Canis lupus familiaris: one gene and its partner. The protein of the gene in region 1 purifies or fractionates together with the protein of each later gene. This does not show direct contact. Links are inferred from orthologs where the notes say so. Each region holds a gene or a part of one and is shown on either strand. Other genes may lie near its edges. The genes, in order: OFD1 and CEP20.

What was found.
Region 2: the proteins of OFD1 (region 1) and CEP20 purify together in Homo sapiens (co-immunoprecipitation; 3 studies listed by BioGRID and IntAct, with this or other methods). This does not show direct contact. The link is inferred for Canis lupus familiaris from reciprocal best matches to the Homo sapiens genes OFD1 and CEP20.

Annotation. Positions count from the first base shown.
Region 1 is NC_049260.1:10,215,347-10,219,157, reverse strand, and holds part of OFD1 (oral-facial-digital syndrome 1 protein), read right to left. Parts: intron 2,484-3,811; coding exon 2,364-2,483; intron 320-2,363; coding exon 246-319; intron 1-245. UniProt on the Homo sapiens protein: Component of the centrioles controlling mother and daughter centrioles length. Recruits to the centriole IFT88 and centriole distal appendage-specific proteins including CEP164. Involved in the biogenesis of the cilium, a centriole-associated function.
Region 2 is NC_049227.1:28,276,915-28,281,351, forward strand, and holds the start of CEP20 (centrosomal protein 20), read left to right. Parts: upstream 1-1,358; 5' UTR 1,359-1,428; coding exon 1,429-1,456; intron 1,457-4,437. UniProt on the Homo sapiens protein: Involved in the biogenesis of cilia. Required for the recruitment of PLK1 to centrosomes and S phase progression.

The DNA of each region.
Region 1 (3,811 bases):
ATAAAATCCTACTGATAAATTACTGGCCTTTGGGAATATACAAAAGGTTAAGCACTAAGGTTCACAAAAATGTAGTTAAGACAGTATTTTTTTATTTTGTAAAATTAAAATAACAAACAACATATCATTTTTGTAGTAACAAGATAGTGTAAGCTGTGTCTTTTTTAGAATATAGAACAGGCCCAACTAGGAAACCAACAGCCTACACATCGGCGCTGAAAAATACAGCTTGCCCCCAGAGTCACCTTTATTCTTCCTTTCATCGTCAATCAGCCTGTTAGTTCTGGCGATGTAGTCGTCCTTTAGTTCGAGTTGATACCTACGAATCAGAAGAACTAAACATGAGCTCCCTGTCACAATCCTGGATGGTCTACCATCAACACGTGAGCTTATCTATGACACCTGGGGCACATAAGGGCATCAACCACGGTGACACGTAAACCCCAGGCTCTCTCAAGACTAAAGCCAGGGATCTGAATTCTCAACATCAAAGGTCCGTCCGTAAACCTCTGCTATGATCCTATAAATTCGGTCCCAAAACTCAATCACACAAAGTGAAGGGCTCTGTTGTCATGAGGTTACTGAGAGCAGGGATTCCTCTTGGTCTCGACAGATGCCAAGAAGTAAATTAAGGTAACATGACAGACACTAAATCCCAGATGATAACCAAGTCAGTCACTTGCAATTCACCTATCCCACATCCCCTCTTCTTAGGTAAGAACTTTTGCCCTTCAAGACTGAGCACAGTATTGAGAGCACCAACTGCCAACAGCATCAGACCTGAATTAGTGGTACCCAAAGGCACATCTCAAGGGGCTTCCACCATCTCCACCAGCTGTTAGCAGTCAACTTTCTGGTTCAGAGGTCAGAGAAAGGAAATGAAAGAGAAGTGCTCCTATGATATCCCCCCAACTTCAACACTTGCTAACGGCTGAGGACACCCAAAGCCAGACAAATGATACCAAACAGTTCACTGCATCCACAGCTATGCAAAGTTAAAGCACACATTTTTCTCATTTGTCACAGTTTAACAACTAGAGTTACTTCAGTGTTTGCTAGTATGTTAGAGGAGCAGATATAAAATATGTAGATAAAATCCATTTCAAAACTGATACAAAGAAAAGGTGCTGCTTTTCCTTTTTAACAGAATTCTTTTATTTTATTTTATTTTTTATGATAGTCACACACACACAGAGAGAGAGGCAGAGACACAGGCAGAGGGAGAAGGAGGCTCCATGCACTGGGAGCCCGACATGGGATTCGATCCCGGGTCTCCAGGATCGCGCCCTGGGCCAAAGGCAGGCGCCAAACCGCTGCGCCACCCAGGGATCCCCAACAGAATTCTTTTAAACAATAACCTCCAGAAACCTTTGCGGGTACTATGTAATGGAATTCCAATGACAAATTATGAGCAAGGCAATAAAAAGGAGACCAATGACCTTAATCAGAGGAGCTGAGTGGAGTCATCTCTTCACTACACATGCATTTACTCAATTGGTATCAACTGAGCACTTATTATGTGCCAGATGCTATACCACGCACTGGAGGGAAAGTTTCCATATGGGCTTAATGTATTTGCACAAAGGTATTATTCACCAGAACACAAAACTCAGGCTATAGGAAAGCCCCAGGGACCACACTTGTCCACATTCTCCTCTCCTATGCTGTTTTTTTGCTTCATATGATTATTTGGCTTTTTTCTGGATTTTGGCTTTCCAGAACCTTGAAGGAATACAAGGCACATGATAGATAAACACTCTAACCAGGTAAGAAGACCAAAGTAGGGATCCCTGCGTGGCTCAGCGGTTTAGTGCCTGCCTTTGGCTCAGGGCGTGGTCCTGGAGACCCAGGATCGAGTCCCACATTGGGGTCCCTGCATGGAGCCTGCTTCTCCCTCTGCCTGTGTCTCTGCCCTCTCTCTCTCTCTCTCTCTCTCTCTCTGTGTCTCTCATGAATAAATAAAATATTAAAAAAAAAGACGAATGTATACATTATTGCCTATCCCCATCTTAGTGCCAGTATGAGGAGAAAACAGAACAGAAAGTGATTTTAATTCCAACTTTACAGCTGCTTAGCCGTGCAAAATGAGCAAGTGCTAAGGTTCCCTAAAAATTGAAGCAAACCTTAGGCCCTCAGTAAGTGTCAGAGAAGCTACAAATAAGAATGAGCAGAGGATGCCATTCTCTGTATCTTTTTAAACTCATCTTAAATAATCAAGGGAAAGGCTTGATTACTAATGAAAATATGTTTTTTAAACATTGAATTTTGCCATCATTTATCTGTCTTATCTACTTCATCAGTGTTGCCATGTTTCTAGCAACTTATTTTAACACAGGATTCCTTTAAAAATGCCAAGCAATTACTTGAGAAGTTCATTCTTGAGCTTCTGGTCATAGCTCTCCTCAATGCTCTTTATATTCAGCTCCCGCTTCCTAAGTGCATCAGTTATGCTTTTATTTTGTTCTTCTTGTAGCCTTTGAGCCCTGAAATTAGCAAAAATAGAGAAAGCAAATAAGGAAACCACGACATCTGAAGTAAGAAACTTTATGGGGAAAAAATAACTTGTGTTTTAGTTCCACAGGCTAAAACTGTAATATGGCTACCACTGCCAGGAAATAAACTGTAAGAACCTGAAGTCCTCCATCTATTTTATGAACTGACTCAGTTCATAAACAAGCAGATGGAATTACCTGGTGGCACCTGGCTAAAGGCAGTGTGAATGTATCAAGACCAAAGTGGTTGCTTATAGAAGATGATCCACACTCAAAAAGGGTTACAGGGGATAAATGGTCATAATCAATTTAGGGGTAAAAGGGTGAGGTTTTTAGTTACAAAGCTACAAACCAAACTCTAGTGTACTTAAATGCTTGTTTCTTCTAGAATATTATTTCTAACTGTGAGACTTAATTGACTAGCCCATAAGAATTATAGATAGAAGATTTGTTTCCGGCATTTAAAAAATCCATCAATTGAAGGTTGAAAAGAGTGCCAAAATAGCAAACGATGGATGAGTCCATTAGAACCTCCAAATCCGAAGAATGGGAGTGCTTTTCATGGGGAGACCTTCAATCACCCACAAAACCAATTCCAGAGCCTAGGATCAGGTTCACAAGTACTTAGTCTAAACGGTAGTGAGGAGGGCTACAAACACTCTGTTCCAAGCAAAGGATAAAGGCTTTGTGTTAGAGGATCCCTGGGTGGTTCAGGGGTTTAGCGCCTGCCTTTGGCCCAGGGTGTGATCCTGGAGTCCCGGGATCGAGTCCCACATCGGGCTCCCTGCATGGAGCCTGCTTCTCCCTCTGCCTGTGTCTCTGCCTCTCTCTCTAGATCATGAATAAATAAAATCTTTTTTTTTTTTAATGAATAAATAAAATCTTAAAAAAAAAAAAGGCTTTGCGTTAGAGCTCCCTCTCCTGACTAATCTTAAACCAAAGGAGCATTAAATCCATTTATTTCATTTAATAGACTTAGACAAGAGAAGTAGGGGACGACGAGGTAGGGAAGTGATTATATAATTATGATTATATCAAGAATCTGCCCAAATTTTGTTCCTTTTCTTTTTTCTCTCGTTATCAATGTGTCATTTTAGTATCGCCAAAAGGAGAGTAAGGTAGGCAGAGAGAAATCAAACGAACAGAGCCTATGTAAATGAAAAAACAACATTAATAAAGATGGAGACAAACTCTTAAAATCAGATTCCTGGAGTATCTATGAATGTCAAGATCCCAGATGGCAAAGAAAGCTTATTCCACCAAATATAGACTGGTGAGGGGGGTATTAATCCCAGGTAAGATTTGAAGGATGATACATC
Region 2 (4,437 bases), on another chromosome or scaffold:
GGGTTAAGACTAGCAATTTAAAGGGCACTGTTCTGGGATCTAGGTCACAGGCATAGACCTTCCTGGCAATGGAAGGAATCACATAACTGGATTCCTAACTGGAAGCACAGAGTCTCACACTCAGTTTTGGGTAAATTATCTCCATTATTCCCATGTTTTTTCTTCTTCATATATTTGGGATGGTAGAGTTTATTCGTTCCTCAATTATTCACAAATAGCTTTTGGACTCCTTAGGAGCACTACCCATAATTAAGTGCCAGGGGAAGAGAACAGGCTTTGAACAGCAAGAGGCCTGGATGCAAATCTCACCTCCACCATTTGCTCATGATCTTGATTTAAGCCTTATCGGTCATCCAAGACTCCGTTTCCTCCTCTGTAAAATGGGAGTTACAGTAGAGAAATCACTGAGCCAACATATATAAAGCATTTAGCACAGTGTCAGGCTCACAGTTAAGTCCTTAACACAGTGAGACCAGCAGCACCAGCAGCACCAGAGAACTTGTCAGAAATGCAGTTCTTGGAGGGCGCCTGGGTGGCTCAATGGTTGAGCTTCTGCCTTTGGCTCAAGTCGTGATTCCTAGGTGTGATCCTGGGTTCCTGGGATCAAGTCCTGCATCAGGCCCGCTGCAGGGAGCCTGCTTCTCCCTCTGCCTATGTCTCTGCCTCTCTCTCTCTGTCTCTCTAAAATAAAATAATTAGAATAGAATAGAATGCAGTTCTCAGATCTCACTCTGGATTGACTACATCAGAAACCCCAGCGGTGGGGCCCCATGATTCCTAGGTGTGATCCTGGGTTCCTAGGATCAAGTCTTGCATCAGGCTCGCTGCAGGGAGCCTGCTTCTCCCTCTGCCTATGTCTCTGCCTCTCTCTCTCTCTCTCTCTCTCTCTCTCACTGTGTCTCTCTAAAATAAAATAATGAATAGAATAGAATAGAATAGAATGGAATGGAACGGAATGGAATGCAGTTCTCAGATCTCACCCTGGCTTGACTACATCAAAAACCCCAGCGGTGGGGCCCCGTGATGTTTTAACAAATCTTCCAGGTGATTCTGAGGCACGTTCAAGTTTGAGAAACACAGGCTTAATACTTGGTAACCATTGACAATCAGTCCCTGAGCCTGCAGCGATGAGCAGTGGGCAGAGCACGGAAGGACTGATCAACCACAGTGCAGCACTAAAGAGCCGGCAGCATCTGCAGGTGAGGTCTCTAACTGGTCTCGGGGCCGGCTCCTCCCACCTCCTCCCTCAGCACCTAGAGAGCTCGCTGATTGGTAGGATCCCTCCGGACCGTCACCACCCACCCAATCCGGGAGGGCGAAAACTGAAAGGGGCGGGACTGAGCAGCGCGAGAGGGGCGCGCCTATTGGCTGTAGACCGGCGCTGCGCGTGCGCACAGCCGACGCGCGCCCGTGACTGCCGGTTGAAAGATGGCGACTGTCGCGGAGCTGAAGGCTGGTGAGTTCGAGTGGGCGGTGTGCAGGGTGAACCGCGCCTGGTCTTCCTCCCGTGAAGAGGATGGGCTGGAAGGAGAGCGCGCGGAACACAGAGTTAGCCTTTCCGGGGGTCGCTGCGCGGCGTCAGGGCCCGCAAGGCGTCCGGCTGGCGTGGCGGCCGCTGCGCCGGGGGCGGGGGGAGGGGTCCTGGGGGAGAGAAGCGGTTGCTCGGGACCAGCTGGGCGGGTCCCAGGTGCGCCGTCGAGCCGAGGAGATGCTGCGCGACCCGCAGGTTCCCGAGAGGTCTGCAGTCCTGCTCGGTGGGCCTCCGGCGCTTTTGTCGGAGCCCTGTCGGGCCGAGGCTCTGGGCTGCCCCTTTCGTCGGGGGCTGAGGATTTCGTCCCCCTCCGTGATCGGGCCTCGGCGCGACCCCGAACCATTAGCTTACCTGTCTCACCGAAGCCTTGCCGCACCCTGCGGGTTGGGTCCCGGTCCCCGTCGGGAAGGCCTGCCCTGGCCACGCTCCTGTGGTTTTTGTTTTTTGTCCTCCCCCCCCCCCTCCCCCCAGCAAGAGTTCCGCAAAGGTGCGAGTCATCGAGCGGGATGGTGTTTGCGCACCGTTGGTTTTTAAACTTTTTTTTTTTTAAGGTTTATTTGTTTACTTATGATAGAGACACACAGAGAGAGGCAGAGACACAGGCAGAGGGAGAAGCAGGCTCCACGCCGGGAGCCCGACGTGGGACTCGATCCCGGGACTCCAGGATCGCGCCCTGGGTCAAAGGCAGGCGCTAAACCGCCGCGCCACCCGGGGATCCCCGCACCGTTGGTTTTAACCGAGGTGTCCAAGCAGCGAACAGTAGTCGGAGGCGAGAAGCGACCGAGCCTTCCGTGTCAGGCCCTGCCCAGCCCCCCTGTGTTACCCAGTGGAGTCTGTGTGACACCCTAGGCCTGTGTAGGTCGTGAGAAATGAAGGTGCAGGGAGTTGCAATAGCTCGCGCCAAGTAACCGAGCTAGAAAGAGGCAGTGCGAGGCAGTGCGTGAGAACCTGGGTTTGCTCCCCCAGCTCTCCCCACCTCCCGGAGCTCCACGTCTTCATCCCTGGGTCATACTGCTACCCGATTAAGAACACTAGTTCCGGTTTTCAGGGACCTTAAATGAGCTCTTAATGAGTCATTTTTTTTAGAAAAGATTTTATTTATTTATTCATTCATAAGAGGCAGAGACACAGTCTGAGGGAGAAGCAGGCTCCCTGCAAGGAGCCCCCATGGGGGACTCAATCCCAGGTCTCCAGGATCACGCCCTGGGCCCAAGGCAGCAGATGCTCAACCGCTGGGCCACTCAGGTGCCCCTAAAAAGGTCATTCTTAAATACCTAGTGAGGAGGGGTTGAATCTCTTTTGAGGGTAGAGTTCAGTAAGCATTGATACAAATGTGTATTTGGGGCATTGGGCTCATGAATGGTCATAAAAAAAGGCATGCCTTTATCCACAAGGAATAGTCTTTTAAGTGAATCCGAGCACCCTCTCTGCACGAAATCCATAACACGTGTAAATCAGAGGATTTTTTTTGTTTTTTTTTTTCTTTTTTATTGGTGTTCAATTTGCCAACATATAGCATAACACCCAGTGCTCATCCCACCAAGTGCCCCACTCAGTGCCCATCACCCAGTCACCCCAAACCCCCACGCCCACCTCCCCTTCCACCACCCCTTGTTCATTTCCCAGAGTTAGGTGTCTCTCATGTTTTGTCACCTTCACTGTAAATCAGAGGATTTAAAGATGCTTTGGGATATCAGGCCAGGTTAAGAACCTCTTTTTTTTTTTTTAAAGATTGCATTTATTTATTCATTAGACACAGAGGGAGGCAGAGGGAGAAGCAGGCTCCCTGCAGGCAGCCTGATGCAGAACTCCATCCTAGAACCCTGGGATCAGGATCTGAGCCAAAGGCAGAAAAAGCTCAACCACCGAGCCATCCAGGCATCCCAAGAACCTCTTTCTGAAGTTGTTGCTAGGGTACAGAGTTTTAAGCATAGTTAGAGAAAGTTTAAGACTCAGTTGGTATGCAACCTGAAAAGAAAATGTAATAGGAGATTAGGAGTGTCCTATGCAGATATATCCCTACATGTATCCTTTTATGTTTTTTTCTTCTGCATTTCCCACTTCAGAATATGCTGTGTGTTCCAGAGAAACTTTGTTTTTTTTTAAGATTTTATTTATTTATTTATTCATGAGAGACAGAGTGAGGCAGAGACACAGGCAAAGGGAGAAGCAGGCTCCATGCAGGAGCCTGATGTGGGACTCGATCCGGGATCCCCAGGATCATACCCCCGGCCAAAGGTGGCGCTAAAACGCTGAACCACTGGGGCTGCCCCCAGAGAAACTTCTTGAAAATTTATTTCCCACTCAATCATTTTACATTGTATGGGCTTTTACCTTTTTCTTTTTCCTTAAAGAGGGGCAAGTGGGAAGGAGCAGAGGGAGAGGGAGAAAGAGAATCTTGAGTAGGCTCCATCCCCACTGTAGAGCCCAATGCAAGGCTGCATCTCAGGACCCTGAGATCATAACCTGAGCTGAAATCAAGAGTCTGGTCCTTAACCAACTGAGCCACCTGAGTGCCCCTGGGCTTTTACCTTTTTAAACATTTTCACATTTTCCACCTCACTTGGTTCTGCCTCTGAGATGTAGGACTCCGTATGTTGCAGAGGGCAGCTGAGGCATAAGCTGGTGATGACACAGGATAGGCTTCCTAATTCCAGCTTCATTAATTCTCATTTCTCTGCTGAGTTTGAGGTTATGTTGCATGCAAATTCAGAGTAATTGGGGGATCTCTGGGTGGCTCAGCGGTTTAGCGCCTGCGTTTGGCCCAGGGTGTGATCCTGGAGTCCCCGGATTGAGTCCTGTGTTGGGCTCCCGGCATGGAGCCTGCTTCTCCCTCTGCCTGTGTCTCTGCCTCTCTCTTTCTCTCCATGTCTATCATGAATAAATAAATAAATAAATCTTTAAAA